Ovis aries: one gene and its partner. The protein of the gene in region 1 interacts with the protein of each later gene in a biochemical or structural test. Links are inferred from orthologs where the notes say so. Each region holds a gene or a part of one and is shown in the gene's direction. Other genes may lie near its edges. The genes, in order: CACNA1A and CACNB4.

The links.
Region 2: the proteins of CACNA1A (region 1) and CACNB4 form a complex in vitro, tested with the Homo sapiens proteins (2 studies listed by BioGRID). The link is inferred for Ovis aries from reciprocal best matches to the Homo sapiens genes CACNA1A and CACNB4.

What each region holds. Positions count from the first base shown.
Region 1 is NC_056058.1:10,324,396-10,332,582, forward strand, and holds the start of CACNA1A (voltage-dependent P/Q-type calcium channel subunit alpha-1A), read left to right. Parts: upstream 1-3,645; 5' UTR 3,646-4,275; intron 4,276-8,187.
Region 2 is NC_056055.1:157,488,268-157,496,547, forward strand, and holds the start of CACNB4 (voltage-dependent L-type calcium channel subunit beta-4), read left to right. Parts: upstream 1-4,040; 5' UTR 4,041-4,339; coding exon 4,340-4,399; intron 4,400-4,559; exon of another isoform or gene 4,560-4,651; coding exon of another isoform or gene 4,652-4,660; intron 4,661-4,887; coding exon 4,888-4,971; intron 4,972-8,280. UniProt on the Homo sapiens protein: The beta subunit of voltage-dependent calcium channels contributes to the function of the calcium channel by increasing peak calcium current, shifting the voltage dependencies of activation and inactivation, modulating G protein inhibition and controlling the alpha-1 subunit membrane targeting.

The sequences.
Region 1 (8,187 bases):
CACACAGCTTGCCATAGCTCAGCTCTGTCCTCCACACTCTGGCTATTCTTTGAGTTACTTTGAAGCCTGGGGGTTCACCTAGTTGCTGAACTGAGGTTCCAGTATCCCACAGAGAAGCCTTCTCTACCCCACTTCTGTTGGTCCAAACCCACCTTCATGGGCTGCATTTTTCCTATTTAATGTTTACGTCCATCTCTTTAAAAAAAGAACGTTTTAAGCACAAAGCAAAGAGAATACAATGAAAATAACACTGGACTCCCTCATCCTCATAAGCCAGCTTCTTCAGTGAGCAATGATGTGTTGGCGGTGTTTATTTTCCCCTCCCTATTGCACTGTATTAAAAAAAATTTTGTGGGAAATTCCTTTCACATGAAATTAATCTTTTTATTTATTTACAGTTTCTTTTCCTGGCTCTGCCAGGTCTTAGTTGCGGCATGTGGGATCCAATTCCCAGACCAGGGATTGAACTTCAGGCCTTCTGCACTGGGACTCTGGAGCCTTAGCCGCTGGACCACCAGGGAAGTTTCTAAAGATTCTTTTGATGTGGATCATTTTAAAAGTCTTTATTGAGTTTGTTACAATATTGCTTCTGTTTTATGGGGGTTTCTGTTTGGTTTTTGGCCTTTAAGGCACGTGGGATTTCAGCTCCCTGACCAGCTGGGGATTGAACCTGGCTGGTTTGAACCCCCTGCCCTGGAAGGCAAAGTTTTAACCACTGGACCACCAGGGAAGTCTCTAACCCTTTGAAAGAGAACAATTCAGAGCATTTAGTACATTCACAGTATTATGCCACTTTTCTATCTTATTTTAGAACATTTGCATCACCTCAAAATGCAACCCTATACTCACTAGCAGGCAGCCCCTGTCTCCCCATGCCCCTGCTCCTAGAAACTGCCAATCTACTCTCTGTCTCGTGGCTTTGCCTATTCTGGATGTTTCATATGAAGGGAATCATACACTATGTGACACTTTGTGTCTGGCTTCTTTCACTCAGCATTATGTTTTTGAGGTTCAGCCATGTTGTAGTATGTCTCAGCGCTTCCTTATTTTTGATGTGTGTGTTAATCACTCAGTTGTATCTGACTCTTTGAGATCCCATGGACTGTACCCCTCCAGGCTCCTCTGTCCATGGCATTCCCCAGGCAAGGATACTGGAGTGGGTTGCCATTCCCCTCTCTATCAGATCTTTCTGATCCAGGGATCGAACCCGATTCTCCCACATTTCAAGCAGATTCTTTATAGTCTGAGCCATCAGGGAACCATTATTTTTAATGACTGTATAATATTCCACTGTACAGAGGTGTTACTGAATCCAAGCTCCTACTGCTTGCTGCACAACAGGCCAATAAATCAAGAAACAAGTTGTCGGGGCAAGCAATATCGACTTTATTTGGAAAGCCAGCAAACTGAGGAGATGGCGGGCTAATATCCCAAAGAACCATCTTCCCTGAGTTAGAATTCAGGCTTCTTTGATACGGAAAGGGGAGGAGGTGTGGTTGGTTGCTGCAAACTTCCTGATGTCAAGAATCCTTTGTTGCAGCTGTCTGGGTAGGTCAGGTCACCATGTTCAAGTAAACCTCCAGCAAGACAAAAGTCATTCTCTGTTCTGCAACTTTGGGGGGTGGGGTGCAAACTGTGTTTAATGTAGTCTAGGGCTTATGAAAAGAGATTGGAAAACACGTGGAATTAGAAAAAACCATTTAAACAGCAAACATTGGTAAACACAATACATCTGTGGCTACAAGGGGGGAAATCCATGGACGTTTGGCCAGAGTACACTGTTTGGGGCAGGCACTCAACAGGGGGTCTTTCCAGCGGAGCATGAGAACCAATGGCTAGAAGCGTACCCAGTATTGACTCCAGTCAGGGCGAGCTGGTATGTGTATCCAAACCAAGCAAGTTCAGTCCCGAGGCACCCGAGCATGTATTCAGCAGAATGTGCCAGCTGCCCTCTGAAACAGCTGTCACATAATCATTTATAAAACAGGGGGCAAGAGCGAGAGGCCACGGGGCAAGAAAGCCTGACCACACCATCTTGGCTAATTTGCTCTCTCCCCACAAAAAGAGGAAATTGTAGGAAGGTAGGAGGAATCAGGAGAAGGCGATGGCACCCCACTCCAGTGCTCTTGCTTGGAAAATCCCATGGACGGGGGAGCCTGGTAGGCTGCAGTCCATGGGATCACAGAGAGTTGGACACAACTGAGTGACTTCACTTTCACTTTTCACTTTCATGCCTTGGAGAAGGCAATGGCAACCCACTCCAGTGTTCTTGCCTGGAGAATCCCAGGGACGGGGGAGCCTGGTGGGCTGCCGTCTATGGGGTCGCACAGAGTCGGACACGACTGAAGCGACTTAGCAGAGGCAGCAGCAGGAGGAATCAGCATTTTCAAGAAGCCAGATCTGCACATCCTGTGATTCCCATCAGCAATGTCAACCCACCTTGTTGCGACTGTTGTTTAGTCGCTAAGTCGTGTTCTACTCTTTGCAACCCTATGGACTGTAGCCCACCAGGCCCCTCTATGCATGGAACTTCCCAGGCAAGAATACTGGAGAAGGTTGCCATTTCCTTCTCCACATTCTGCAACTTTTTATCTCTATATGAATGGGAAAGTGTTATACCTTTAAAGGTCAGAGGCTTGAAAATGGGCTATCCAGTGTATTTCAGGCTATAGGCAACATTATTATAGCAAAAGCAATAGACTGTAAAGGTTAAAGTGAAAGATTCAATATGGAATCACGTTTCTTCTTCCCTATTACAGAGGATCTGAAATTTTGTTTATTCATTCATTACTCCTGGAAGTGACCTATCACCTTAAGCATAAATACTTCAACATGTATCCCTAATACATAAAGACTTTAAAAAACAACATAATCAAAATACTGGGCTTCCCAGGTGGTAACAGTGGTAAAGAATCCACCTGCCAATGCAGGAGACACAGGGATATGAAGTTTGATCCCTGGGTAGGGAAGATCCCCTGGAGTAGGAAGTGGCAACCCACTCCAGTATTCTTGCCTGGAAAATCCCATGGTCAGATGAGCCTGGCGGGCTACAGTCCATGGGGCAGCAAAGAGTCAGACAGGACTGAGCACAATCAAAATACTACTAAGAAACTTTATAAAAAGAACAGTAATTCTTTAATATCCCCTAACACCCAGCCCAGGTTTAATTGCTCCTGTATAAACAATGCTTCTTTCCCCAGTGAGGTAAATCCTCCCATTTTGACTCCACTTTATGAAACATGAGGCTTCTCTCTGCCCTAGATGCTTCTTATAAGACATACAGCTCATCTTTAAAAGGAGCCTCCTTTAAAAGGAGAAAGGGGGTCACCCCAGTTTTGGAAACCTATGTCTACGCACGCAGCAAACAAACCTGTGAAGCTTGCCATCAATTGCCTTTTTGCATCCAAAGACTCAAATTCTCTTCTTGCTGCCTTTATATTCAAATCATACAACTCCCTTTGCCTTAAGGGGGTGGGAGGGAGCTCAAAGAAATGCTGTTTCGCCAGAGAACAGAAGAGACTGGGGGTGGGGTGGGGTTAGCAGCTGTCCTCTAATTAGTGTTTCTGTAAGGGCATCAATAATTTAGGTAATCTGGCGGAGGGGAGATGGTTAAATTATAAGTGTGATTCCACATCCATGCTGATTCCCGCCTGCTACACACGCCCCTTCCGCAAACCCACTAAGTAGGAGAGACAGAGCCTTTCCTGGCTCCTTAAGAGAAGCTGCTCTGGAAGAAGGTAGAGGGGTGATACACAGCATCCTTCCAGAGAGTCCTGCCCCGTGCTGGGAGGTCGCGGTCCAGTGTTAAGGGGCAGAGAGCCGAGAGTAAGAATTCCCTTTTATTTTCCCCTGAGGAGCACTGTGGATGGGAGGCTGGATAGTCTCCCTGTCCTGGGTTCCCGAGCAGTAAGTACTTTGCTGGAGATGATCAGGGGCTGATGACACGTTAGTCCTCCCCTGTCTCCTCCCAACATTAGGGAAACCTCCCCCTCTTCCTTTTCCCTTTCCCCCACTGTTATCTGGCACAGAAGCCCCATTTGGCACCTGCCTTTGTGGGGAGCCCTCAGCTCTGAGCTTGGCTGCTCTTGGTGTCCCCTTTCTCTCTCTTTCCTCCGGGGCCCCCTTTTCCTTTCCATTGGGCAGGCAATGGATGCGTGGGCATCTGCTGGCTTGGACCCCTGGGCGCTGACAAGGTGGGGCCCTCAGGACAGCCGGAGGACTCGCTGCGCTGCCCACTAACCACACAGCCTGAGCGCCAGAGCCCATGCAACACAGGTGAGTGAGCGACAAAATCTGGGGGGGGGGCAGAGTTCTGCAGGGAGTCTAATCTTTATTTCCTTGCTGCAACCTTACCTGTATAGGTAAAGGTAAGAACCCAATGACCCCCTCCTTCCTCTGAATAGGTTTTCTTTGGGGGGTGGGAAGTTTATTTCTCTCCGCAGCTTCTCTTGCTGGGGGCAGACTCCCTGATTTCCAGCTTTTACTTCTTGCTGAAATATTCATTTTCTCTCAACTGCCCTTGGCCCTCCTGTAGTACTTGATATCTCTGCCACCTGCTCTGGGCCTGTGACATTTCCCCAATGATCACGGTTTCTAAGCTAAGCCTAATTCTACTTTTTTTTAAATGTCTCCCCCAACCCCGTCTCCTGTCCTCCGCCACGCCCCCGGCCATCACTCAAGTCTAAATTAGTCTGTTTTTGCTTTAAGATGCAGGCAGGCTGGACTAAGTGACGAGCTTGGAATCTTGCGCGCCTTCCCCTCCCCCATTGCCTATGACTTTGTTGGGGGGGGCGGGGTGGTGGTCCCAGAAACAAAAGTTCACGCCCCCCGTGTCGCCGGTCCTTGTTTGCTGTGCTCTAACCGGCATGAATACGTTTGGAAAAAGGGAGATGGCAGATGGCTGTTGAGGATAATTACGCCGTCTTAGGCAACCTCTTGTTCTGTTTAATATTTAATATTCTGCCCTCCCTTGCTCCAAATGAAAAGCAGAGACAGTGCTAGGCACCCCTCTAGACCAACCCCTCCCTTTAGGAAATGTTTGGACAGAACTGACTCTCCGGGTGGCTTTTATTTCTCAAGAAATGAGAGAAATCACTCTCCTCTCTGGCTCTCGCCCACTGACAGCTTCAGAGAACACGTGGCTGGTGGGGGCGGGAGGGGGAAGCGCCCCGCAGGCTGGGCTCCTCTGCCTTTTCCCGGGGCTCGGGCTTTGTGGGTTCCTGAGGGACTGAGCTGGAAGAAGGAATCAAAAGGAAATGTAAACGGGAGGATGATATAGCTTCCAGGAGGCAGTGGCCTCCGCCGTGGCTGAACAGACAAGAGGGGCGCTCTTCCCTGAGCCGCCTCCTTCCTTAGCTTCTAGGTGCCGGGGTAGGAGACTGGTAGGGATCTCCACTAGGTATTCCGGTTCCATCCTGAGTTTCCTGTTCAGAGCCGCCAACTTCAGGGCAGACCTGCCATTTCCCCTGCGGGCTCTTTCACGGACAGGCTTAGGTCTCTGGGGGATGGATGGGGGATGGATGGGGGATGGATGGGGGAGGGATGGGGGAGGGATGGGGGAGGGATGGGGGAGTTGCGGTGGGGAAGTTGGGAGAAAGGCAGTCTCCTGTGTCTGGCTGACTCTGGCCCCTCACCCCTGACTTGGTTTCTAGATCTTCCAAACCCAAGACCCGGGTTGCAGGAAAGCTCCCAACTCCAGAGGTCTTAGTAGCTGACTATCCCATTGATGTTTTCCTCTAAAACACTGGGATATGCAGGCACGCATAAAGGCGTTCCAGCCAATGCATGGTGCCTTACTCTGCTTTTCGTAGAAGGAAATGGAAACCCACTCCAGTATTCTTAACTGGAGAATTCCATGGACAGAGAAGCCTGGCGGGCTATACAGTCCATGGGGTTGCAAAGAGTCGGGAACGACGGAGTCGTTGAGCACATAAAGATGCTGCTTGAGGCAAATGCCGTCATTCCTCTAGATAAGACTGGGTAACTTCAGTGCTGCCCCTCTAGCTCCCCCAAAGTAAGTGGAAAGATCAGGACTAAGGTTCTGGAGGCAAAGGGCAGATTTTTTTTTCTAAAGGTGTTTTATTTTTGGGGGGTGAGGTGGGCAGCACTGACATGAGGAATCTTAGTTCTCCCAGCAGGGATCAAACCCATGCCCCCCGCAATGGAAGTGTAGAGTCTTAACCCCTGGACTGCCAGGGAAGTCCCCCAAGGGCAGATTTGACATTGAACAAATTACTGGGCAAATGACCGGCAAAGTAATGCCAAGTGCAGCTCTTGAACATCATAGCACCAGCAGAAGGTTTGACTTGTTTTCTTATTTTTTTTTTTTAATGCTACCTTACAGGACAAGAGGGCCCTTAGTGGCCAAGGGCAAGTGAGGGAAGATCTTATTCCAGGATCTTTCAAGCCAACTGTCTTCACAGTGACAGACAGGCTAGGGCTCTTGGCATGCTCTCGTAAGCCCCTCCCGGCAAGGCCAAGCCTGTCTGATGGCGGTCAGCGAGACTGACTTAACTGAGTGCGGGAGGGGAGGGGAGCTGGTCAGACTCCTCAGACCTTCATCTTCAAAATGCAGACCCTGGACTGGCAGCATACTCTGGGAATGCAGAGTCTCAGGCCCCATCCAGGCCTGTTGAGTTAGAATCTGCATTTCAGCTGGATTCCAGGGCAGAATCAGAGTCTGACTGGCTAGTCAGAGTCTTAGAAACTGGGGCTTAAGTCTGTGCATCAGTGTTCTAGTTGACAGGCCAATTGTGGCATCCCAATAGTAGAGGTCCTGGGGGACCAGGCCAGGTGATGCTCAGTGCTGGGCACATAGTAGGTGCTCACTAAATCTTGGCCACTTGTTTGTTGTTGATATTGTTGCAAGAATTGATTAATGAAGGTAATGTGGTTTTGTAAAGCTTCATTTATTATGGGCTTCCTAGGTGGTTCCGTGAGTCTGTCTGCCAACACAGGAGATATAGGAGATGCAATTTCGATCCCTGGGTCAGGAAGATCCCCTGGAGGAGGAAATGGCAACCCACTCCAGTGTTCTTGCCTGGGAAATCCCATGGACTGAAGAGCCTGGTGGGCTACAGGCCATGGAGTCACAAAGAGTTGGCCACTACTGAGTGACCGACTTGTTGTTCAGTTGCGAAGTTGTGTTCGATTCTTCACTACCCGTGGACTGCAGCACCCCAGGCTTCCCTGTCCCTCAGTATCTCCCAGAGTTTGCCCAAGTTCATGTCCATTGAATTGGTGATGCCATCCAACCATCTCACTGTCTGTCACCCTCTTCTCCTTCTGCCTTCAATCTTCCCAGCATCAGGGTCTTTTCCAGCGAGTCTGCTGTTCCCCTCAGTGGATAAAGTATTGCAGCTTCAGCATTAATCCTTCCAAAGAGAATTCAGGGTTGACTTCCTTTTGGATCGACTGGTTTGATCTTGCTTTTCAAGGGACTCTCAAGAGTCTTTTCTAGCACCACAGTTCAAAGGCATCAGTTCTTCAATGCTCTGCCTTCTTTATTGTCCAGCTCTCATATCCGTACAAGACTATGGAAAGACCATAGCCTTGACTATATGGACCTTTGTCAGCAGAGTGATGTCTTTGCTTTTGAACACATTGTCTAGGTTTGTCATAGCTTTCCTGCCAAGAAGCAGTCATCTTCTAATTTCATGGCTGTGTGCACCATCCACAGTGATTTTAGAACTCAAGAACAGGACATCTATCATTGCTTACACCTTTCCCCCTTCTATTTGCCATGAAGTGATGGGACTGGATGCCATGATCTTAGTTTAATATTGAATTTTAAGCTGGCTTTTTCACTCTCCTTCTTTACCCTTATCAAGAGGCTCTTTAGTTCCTCTTCACTTTCTGCCATTAGAGTGGTATCATCCGCATATCTGAGGTTGTTGACATTTCTCCTGGCAATCTTGATTCCAGCTTGTAACTCGTCCAACTTGGCATTTCCCATGATGTGCTCTGCATAGAAATTAAATAAACAGGGTGACAATAAACAGCCTTGGCGTACTCCTTTCTCAATCTCAATGAACCAGTCAGTTGTTCCGTACAGGATTCTAACGGTTGCTTCTTGGCCCGCATACAGGTTTCTAGGAGGACAGGTAATATGGTCTGGTATTCCCACCCCTTTAAGAATTTTCCACAGTTTGTTATGATCCACACAATCAAAGGCTTTAGTGTAGTCAA
Region 2 (8,280 bases), on another chromosome or scaffold:
AACCTGAGTGCAGCAACGAAGACCCAGTGCAAAAATAAATAGGTGAAACATGAAAAAGTGTACAATTCAGTGCTTTTCAGTATTTTTATTAACATTTTCTTTGCCTCAAAAGGAAGCCCTGTAGACTTATCACTTCAATATCCCCCTAACCTCCCCTGCCCTAAGCAACCACTAATCTGTTTTTAGTCTCTATAGATTTATTTATTTGGGACATTTCATGTAAATAGAATAATATAATATATGACCTTCTGTGACTTATTTCTTTCACTTAGCTTAATATTTTCAAGGCTCATTCACACTGTAGCATGTATCAATACTTCGTTCCTTCTTATTACGGAATAATATTCCATTATTCATCAGCTGGTGGACACTTGGGGTATTTCCGCTTTTTTGGCTATTATGAATAATGCTTCTTTGAGCTTTCTTGTACAAGTTTTTGCATAAATATATGCTTTTGTTTATCTTGGGTATATACTCAGGAGTGGAATTGCTGGCTCATTTTGTAACTTTATGTTTAAACACTTGAGTAGATGCCAGACTGGTTTTCAAGGGAACTGCACCATTTTACATTCCCACTAGCAGTGGGAATTTCTGATTTCCAGTTTCTCTATATCTTTGCCAATAATTATTATCTGAGGTTTATCTAGTGGATAGTATAGTGGTATATCATGGTTTCAATTTGCATTCTCCTGATGACTAAAAATATCATTTTTTCATCAGCTTATTGGCCATGTGTATATCTTCTTTGGAGAAAGGTCTATTCAGATTCTTTTCCTATGTTAAAATAAGGTCATCTGTCTCTTTATTACTGAGCTATAAGAGTTTTATATATATATATATATATAAAAATACACAAATAAATATATATATATTTATACACACACACGTATATGATACAAGTCCCTTATCAGATATATGATTTGCAAATATTTTCCGGCATTCTGTTGTCTTTTCACTTTCTTGATAGTGCCCTTTTCACTTTCTTGACAGTGCCACAAAATTTAAAAAGTTCAGACATTTTCAATTTTGAAGTTCAAATTTACTTTCTTTCTTTTGTTGCTTGTGCTCCTGGTGACATATCTAAAAATCCATTGCCAAATCCAAGATCGTGAAGATTTACCCCTATGTTTCCTTCTAATAGTTTTACACTTTTGTGTAAGACCTCTTCATTTAGATCTTTGGTCCATTTTGAGTTAATTTTTGTATGTGGTGCAAAGTGGGGCCCAACTTCATTCTCTGAGTTCCAGTCCTGGGGGCAAGGACAATGGCATTCTCTGTGTGACATTTTCACTTTAGGAGCTGAGCGCTTGGTAGTGAGGGGCAGCAAGCCTGGGTCTCCTGGCTTGTCTCTCCAGGAGCAGTTGGGTCCTCAGTATTCTCTGTGGCACTGTGTCCCAGGCAGAGCCCCCATCCCACAAGTGGGGGCTGGGCTAAAGAAAGGAGCCCCCACCTCTGCTGTATTTGAGGGGAACTTAGCCTCAGCAACAGGTGGCCGCTGCAGGATGATAAATGGCCTGTCCCTCCCAGGAAAATAACCCTCCAGCTGGGAGCTGAAGGGAGAGGGAGCCCTGTATTCCCAGCAGCATCAGGTAGCCAGTTTCCCTCTTGCTCAATCAGATGAAGGTGGTGGGGGGTGAGGGTGGGGAGAACAAGTCTTGGTTCAAATACCACAAGCTCACTTTTCTTACTGAGTTTTAGTAAATTTTCCTGAATGAATGTTTTTTCAGTGGCTGCATACCCTTCTCTGGACCATTTCCACAGATTAAAGAATTTTTTAGAAACTATTTTCACCAGTTTTGCTGTGAGGTAGGTAAAGAGAACTCTTCAATGTCATGCCACTGTAGATTCTTTTTTGATAACTCAGTGTCATAAGACTGTAGGCAGTAGAAAGCCAGAAAACTCAAATCCCAGTGCCCACATAATAATTCACTCTGTAAGTATTGATTAAGTATCAACTATGAAAATGGCTGAGAACTTAAAATGGATTGAGTTGACGGTAACTAAAGCAAGGGGTTCTGCATTGGCAGACATACCATTATCCATATACTTTATGGAATATCTATTAATATAACATGTGAGATATAAGAATGGAAGATAAAAAGCTAAAAATCTATTTTAGGAATTAGATTTTCACAAAAAGAGAACACGTAAACCAAGGCAGCCTGCACTAAGTGCCCAGAGAATAAATGCTCCAGTTTTTCAGGGCATGGTCAGGGAAGATTTCTGTGGAAGGAGAGTGTGTTGAACCAGGCTTGGAAGCAGGGTAGGATGCAGGCGGGTGGGACTGGGGGCAGGACACATTTCAGGCAGAGGTGCTGAAGAGGGATTGTATTTGGTGTGTTTGAGCAATGAGCAGACCTTTCTGCTTGCTGTTCAGTGATCAAGTTGGAGAAAAGTGGTAGTGACCAAAGCAGGAGATTGGTTGTTGGGCCAAGGAGTTTGGACTCTGTCTTGTGGGCTGCTGAGAGCAATGAGCGCCATCAACTACAAACTGACACTTGCCATCTACCTCTATAAGGGTTAAAGCATGTGCTGCTGACCTTCAGCAGCCTCTGAAAGGAGTTCAGGTGGAGCCCAGAAATGAGGCACTCTGTGCTCTGGATGGGGTGGGGGAACTGGCAGGACAGATCTTCAGATAGGTATTTTGAGGATCTCATTTTATAGGTCCAATTGTTATGCCTCCTCATATCTAGAAAAGCACTAAAATCCTTCATGGTGATGATTGTTTCTCATCACTGGCAAAAAGCTTCATGAGATAGCAGAAACCTGTGCATGTGCTTGATTATATGTATTTCCTCCTTTGCCAGAATCAGGCGTATACTGACCTTCACCCCTGCCTCTTTGGAGCAGTCTCTCAGAGCTACTTGAGGCACCATTTCCCAGGCTGCAGTCCTCATTTTGCCCCAAATAAAACGGCATGTAACTCACATTGTACATTTTTTTTGAAGTCAGCAGTGCTTTTTAGAAAAGAGTGAGTTGAGTAAAGAGATTTTAGGAAAATGGTTTTGCCTGTAGTGTTTAGATAGAATGAAGTGTGTGGGTATGTGTGTGTGCAGGTGTATGCTTAGAGGAAGGCTGGAGGCAAGGAGACTAATTATTATACTCTTACAAAGAACTGAAGGTCTGGATTAAGTGAAGGGGGTGGGAATGGAAAGAAAGTGTCTGGTGTATGGTAAAACTATCAGGACCTCAATAAGGCCAACTAATTGTTAAAAGAGACAGGCAGTTTCCCTCAAAAAATACTAGAACCCAAGGTGATAGGGGCTGATGTAGTAATTTAAGATACCATGCAAATTTTATTCATGGATTTCTCTTGCAGTAACTATTTACAATTAAACAGGGTCTCTTTATTTTTGAATTCGCATGTTTCTCTTCCTGCTTGTTACTTCAAGTCCTCCTCCCCACAATTCGCTTTTATTTGTTCTCCAGTTAATCTCTAGTATGTTTTTGCAGGAGGAAATTTAGGGTTGCAACAACGCCAAAGATGTATGATTTCAAAGATGAGTTCTCTCCCTTGAAGACAGATATCCGCCTAGAAAGGGAAGGCACGTGGCCAACTCTTGCCTTTCAGCACGTCTATGTGACCTTCAAAACTCCTTAGGACACGCCGGTTTGCTGCGGGCTGCACCCCGGTCAGACTCAGGTTGGCAGAATCTCCCGGGGCTGCCGGGTGTGCATGGCTTGCGGTTTTGAAGCTAGAGTTCACAGAACAATACAAAGACTCGGACAAAAAGCCAAACCACAGAACCCCATGCCTTACCACAATGGGCTGATGGGTGAAGTCGCGGAAGAAAGGTTCTGCTCTTGCCCTTTTAAAATTCCAGTGCAGCAAACACACACCCGCGTGCGCGCACACACACACACACGCATACACGCCGAATTGGCTTTTCCCACTCCCTGCCACTCTGCACCAGTGTCCTTCCCCGAGTCCTGATTCATGAACCGTGCCACCTTTGTCTCATTTTAAACTGTGCAGACTATTTTCATCCTCCCACCCCCCTCCTAGGTTCCCCCTCTCCCTTCCTCCACTGGAAAGCTCTGATGTAAGGCGCTCGCTAGGTGGGAGAGCGCTTCTCCATCGCCTCGGGTCGGCGAGATCCCGAGAAGCCCCCCTCCGCGGGACCTCCGCCGGCGGGGGCCGCTGCCTGGAGGTCCGCTGCTGGCGCGAGGGTGAGCGCCTCGAACCCTTTAAGGTGTCTCCGCGCTCGCAGGAGCCGGCGCGGGTCCCGAAGCGGGTGGGGAAGTCCTGCCGCCCTCCCCCGCCTCCAGCTTGCAAGCGTCCGGGGGGCCCAGCCGTCCTCCGCCCGCCGAGCACGGGCGGGCCATGCGGCTGTGAACCATGTCCTCCTCCTACGCCAAGAACGGGAGCGCCGACCGGCCGCGCTCCCCAACCTCGCAGGTACCGCCCCCTCCTCCCCTTCCTCGCCCCGCCTTCGCGCCGGGCGAGCGGGGCCCGGGTCCTGGGAGTCAGCGGCCCCGCTCCCCCACCCCTGCGCGCCGTCCCTGTCTCCTCCCGCCCTCTTCTTTCTCCTCCTCCTGCTCCTGCTCCTTCTCACCTCGTCAGGTCTCTGCGCTCCCGCTCCGGAGTCCGCAGCCTTCCCCAGCCCATGCCGCCGGGGACTCGGACCCCGCACCCTGAGAGTCTTTGTTAATGGATGTGGTGGGTGCTCGCGGGCGGCTCTTCCCGGGCATCTTTTCAGTCGTCGAGGCTTAAGTGGGTGGGTGGGATGGAGGCTGTATGTGGGGACCGTGGAGGAGACGTGGGTGCGGGCTCTGGGGAGCCCCCGGGGAGCAGGTCCCGAGGCGGACTCTAGCCTGGGGTGGTCGCCCGGCTCCCCACTGCCGCGCCCTCATGCGCTTCTCTCCGACCCCGTGTGTCGAGTGCAGGTGGCCCGAGGCACCACGACCCGGAGGAGCAGGTTGAAAAGATCCGATGGCAGCACCACTTCGACCAGCTTCATCCTCAGACAGGTAGGAGGCGGGCGCGGGGGGCGGTGGGGGTGGTGTTCCGGAGCTGAGCGCAGCCCCCTCGTGCGGGCGCGGCGGGCGGGGTCCCCGCGCGCCCCTTCCCTCCCTCGGCGTGCCCTGCGGCTGGTCCTTCTCCTTCCGTCCCGGCTCCCAAGTCTTAGGGTCCCGGGAAGTTGGTACGTGTGGACGCGAGCCAGCTGGGACCTAGTTGAATTTAAGAGTGGAAGTATTTCTTTTTGCACCTTCGTCGCGCGAGGAAACCTTCTTAAGGCGTGTGACTTGACTTGACCAGAGCCCCGGGCGCCGGACAACTGCTTAGATTCGGCTGTTAGAAGCTCTTCTGTTTTGCCCTATTTTGAATACTCTCCTTTGTCATCTCCTAGCTCTGGTCCAAAGGAAAGACACTTTGAGCAGAAAGTTTGGTCTCGCTTTGGGACCTATTCTTTGGTTCGCTCGGTTAGGGAAAGACTGCCGGATCTGTTTAAATCTAAGTAAGCGAAGACCTACACTCAGTTTCTGGGGTCTGGGTGCTGCCACACTTAATGTTTGTTTTCTTAGTGATTGTTCTCTTCTGCGTGGTTCTAGTGCGCGTTGAGTGTGATAAAGATCACTGGTTCCACCGAATGCTGAAGTGCCTTTTAGCTTGACACAGGAAGTTGGTTCTTAATTTCGTACTGTCTATGGGCTACAGAGAAACCACTCCTTCATAGCTACTGGGTGCTAGAGAGATCATGCGAAAAGGAATCACCTTGATTTCTCTTTGGAAGAGAAGCTATCGAGGTGTGTGAGTTCAGGGTACCCTGGGAGGACCGTGGTCACTGCACCAAGGCTCCGCTGTGGGCTGCTGGAATGACCTTGGGAAGTTCTTTTCCCTCTAGGTAACTCAGATCATCGTGTACTGTGTTTTTAACCTATGATGGCAGCTGCATTATGTTTCTTTAGTGATTATCCTCAATTTAAACAGATTACCCCTGAGGAATGGGCATTAGACTCAAAATTGGACTCAGACCTCTCCTAAAAAGTCCATAAAGCGTATTTACATAGTATTTATTACACAGGCATTCATTTTCTTCAGGGACAGAAATTACTGCAACTACTCTTTCATTCAGTGAGTACTAAGTGTGTGCATTATTAAAATAAGTATATTTTGGATTCTGAATTCAAAAAATGTATTCTATCCTTTTTGCAGTGTTTAGATTATTTACATATTTAATAAAGCAAACATTCTTCTTTTACAAAAATTGACTTATGTGACTGAGATCTTGTTTATGTTTATTTTGTAGATGCCTATTTTTGGTAGTGTTTTATTACTATAGATTCTTAGAAATACTAATTATACACCAGTATATTCCATGAGGCATTTGACTGACACTTTTGAATTTATCTATACCATCACTTCAGTAATGTTTTATTCATCCAAGCACAATCAATATTCTTTGTAATATATTAATCTTATTCTTTCCTCAAGTTAAATAATAAGTGAGATAAGGCGTGTATAAGTTCTTGTTAAATGTGCTGGTGTGTGTCGGCTTAAAAATGTAAAAAGTATTCATGCTGAATAATTTTGGGAGTAATTTAAACTGTCACAGATTTGGGGAACAAATATATTTCATAAGTCTTTCTGAAACTAGGCTAGGATATGTTGGTTTACTAAGATGATCTAATTTAAATTTGGACATTTTGTTGTAATGATATTATTAACATATACACAGTCTTACTAACTTTTCTGCACAGAAATAATACATAATTGTTATGAGGACTTACAGCTCAGTGAGCATCCTATATCTGATCTTCTTTAAATGTCATAATATAGACTTCTGTAATGACAATGATAAAACAACTGAGGAATTTTAATTTATTTGACAAGAGATGAAAAATGATTCCAAATGGAACTTTAACACTGTATTTTGAAATTAAATTTAACAGTTTTCACCCAAATGCCAAAAAAAAAAAAAAAAATTGTTTAAAAAAAGACCAGCAGCTGTTTAATGTTACTAGAGACTTATTATTTGTAGAATGACCAGTGATTTACTGTTTTTGAATTCTTGATGTATTTCACAATCTGTGTGATGCCTTTGCACAAGAAGATAGTGAAGATATCAGTAAAAACAGTGCTGCTCATTTCTCTGCCATATAATCTGCAAAGATATGGGGGTAAAGGTTTCACTTATTTTTTTAAAAAATGTATTGAATCAGAGAGGAACATCCGGGCTGGTGGTGAAGAATAGAGGACAGTTGGCAAACTCATCAAATAGAACAGTGTTTATTGTTTGAGCTGGTAAAAAAATCTCAGTGTTCATGTGTATATGTGCACAGATGTATGTATGTGCACACACAAACACATGCACACATGTGACCTGGCCTGAAAATGAACAGACTAAGACAGCCTGTTTCTCCCCCTGAGGACTGCTCACAAAACCCTTCAGGCATCTCTGACCTTGTTTGCTGATCTGCTAGATTGTTGCCCTCCACAGTTTAGGAGCGATGGAGGTTTTGGGATGAATCCAGGGAGCAACTAAATGATTTCTTTGAGGAAAGGTGAGAAGGTTAAGTATTTCCTCACTGAAAAAAGAAAGAACTAGGGGTGACCCGGTAGTGATCCTCAAAGGGTACAGGAAGACTGTCCTTTGGACATGTGGTGGGCTGTTCTGTCTTCATGGAGGCTGAACTCAACAATTGGCTACAATTAGAAAGGAAGGATACTTTATAGCAAGACTTTCCAAAGAATGTTGATATCCTTGAGATGGCTTTCCAAGAAAGGCTGTAGAATTTTCTCTCAGGAGATCACTTTTGACAGGCCATTTATGAATGGATTATTTATTCATGCTTTAAATTTTTAGGAAGCACTCACTAAACATTCGATATGTACCTTTCCCTGCACTAGATACTGTGGGATAGGAATGAAAAGATGAATGAGACACAGCCCCTGTACCTAAAGGATTTTCTGATATAGTTACAGAGACATAGATGCATACAATTAATATGGTGAGATGGAGCAAGGAATTAGGGTGTCTGCAGAATGCCCATGTGTGTGAGTATATGAGATACCATGGGTATCACAGCACATACAGGTTGTGTGGCAGAGTGCTCCAGGTTACCCTCACTGGGGTTACTCCCAGTGTTTTCCTCCTCTGAGGTTCAAAGGAAAATCTGATCAGAGTGGCTTGTTGACTTCTCCTTAAGACTGCCCTTATGAGAACTGCAGAGGCATGTAAGACCTGGATCCTACCAGCTTCCAGCCTCATCCTAGGCCACCATCTTAGTTCTGGAAACAGATCTTGAACATACCACTCTCCCTCATGCCACAGGCCC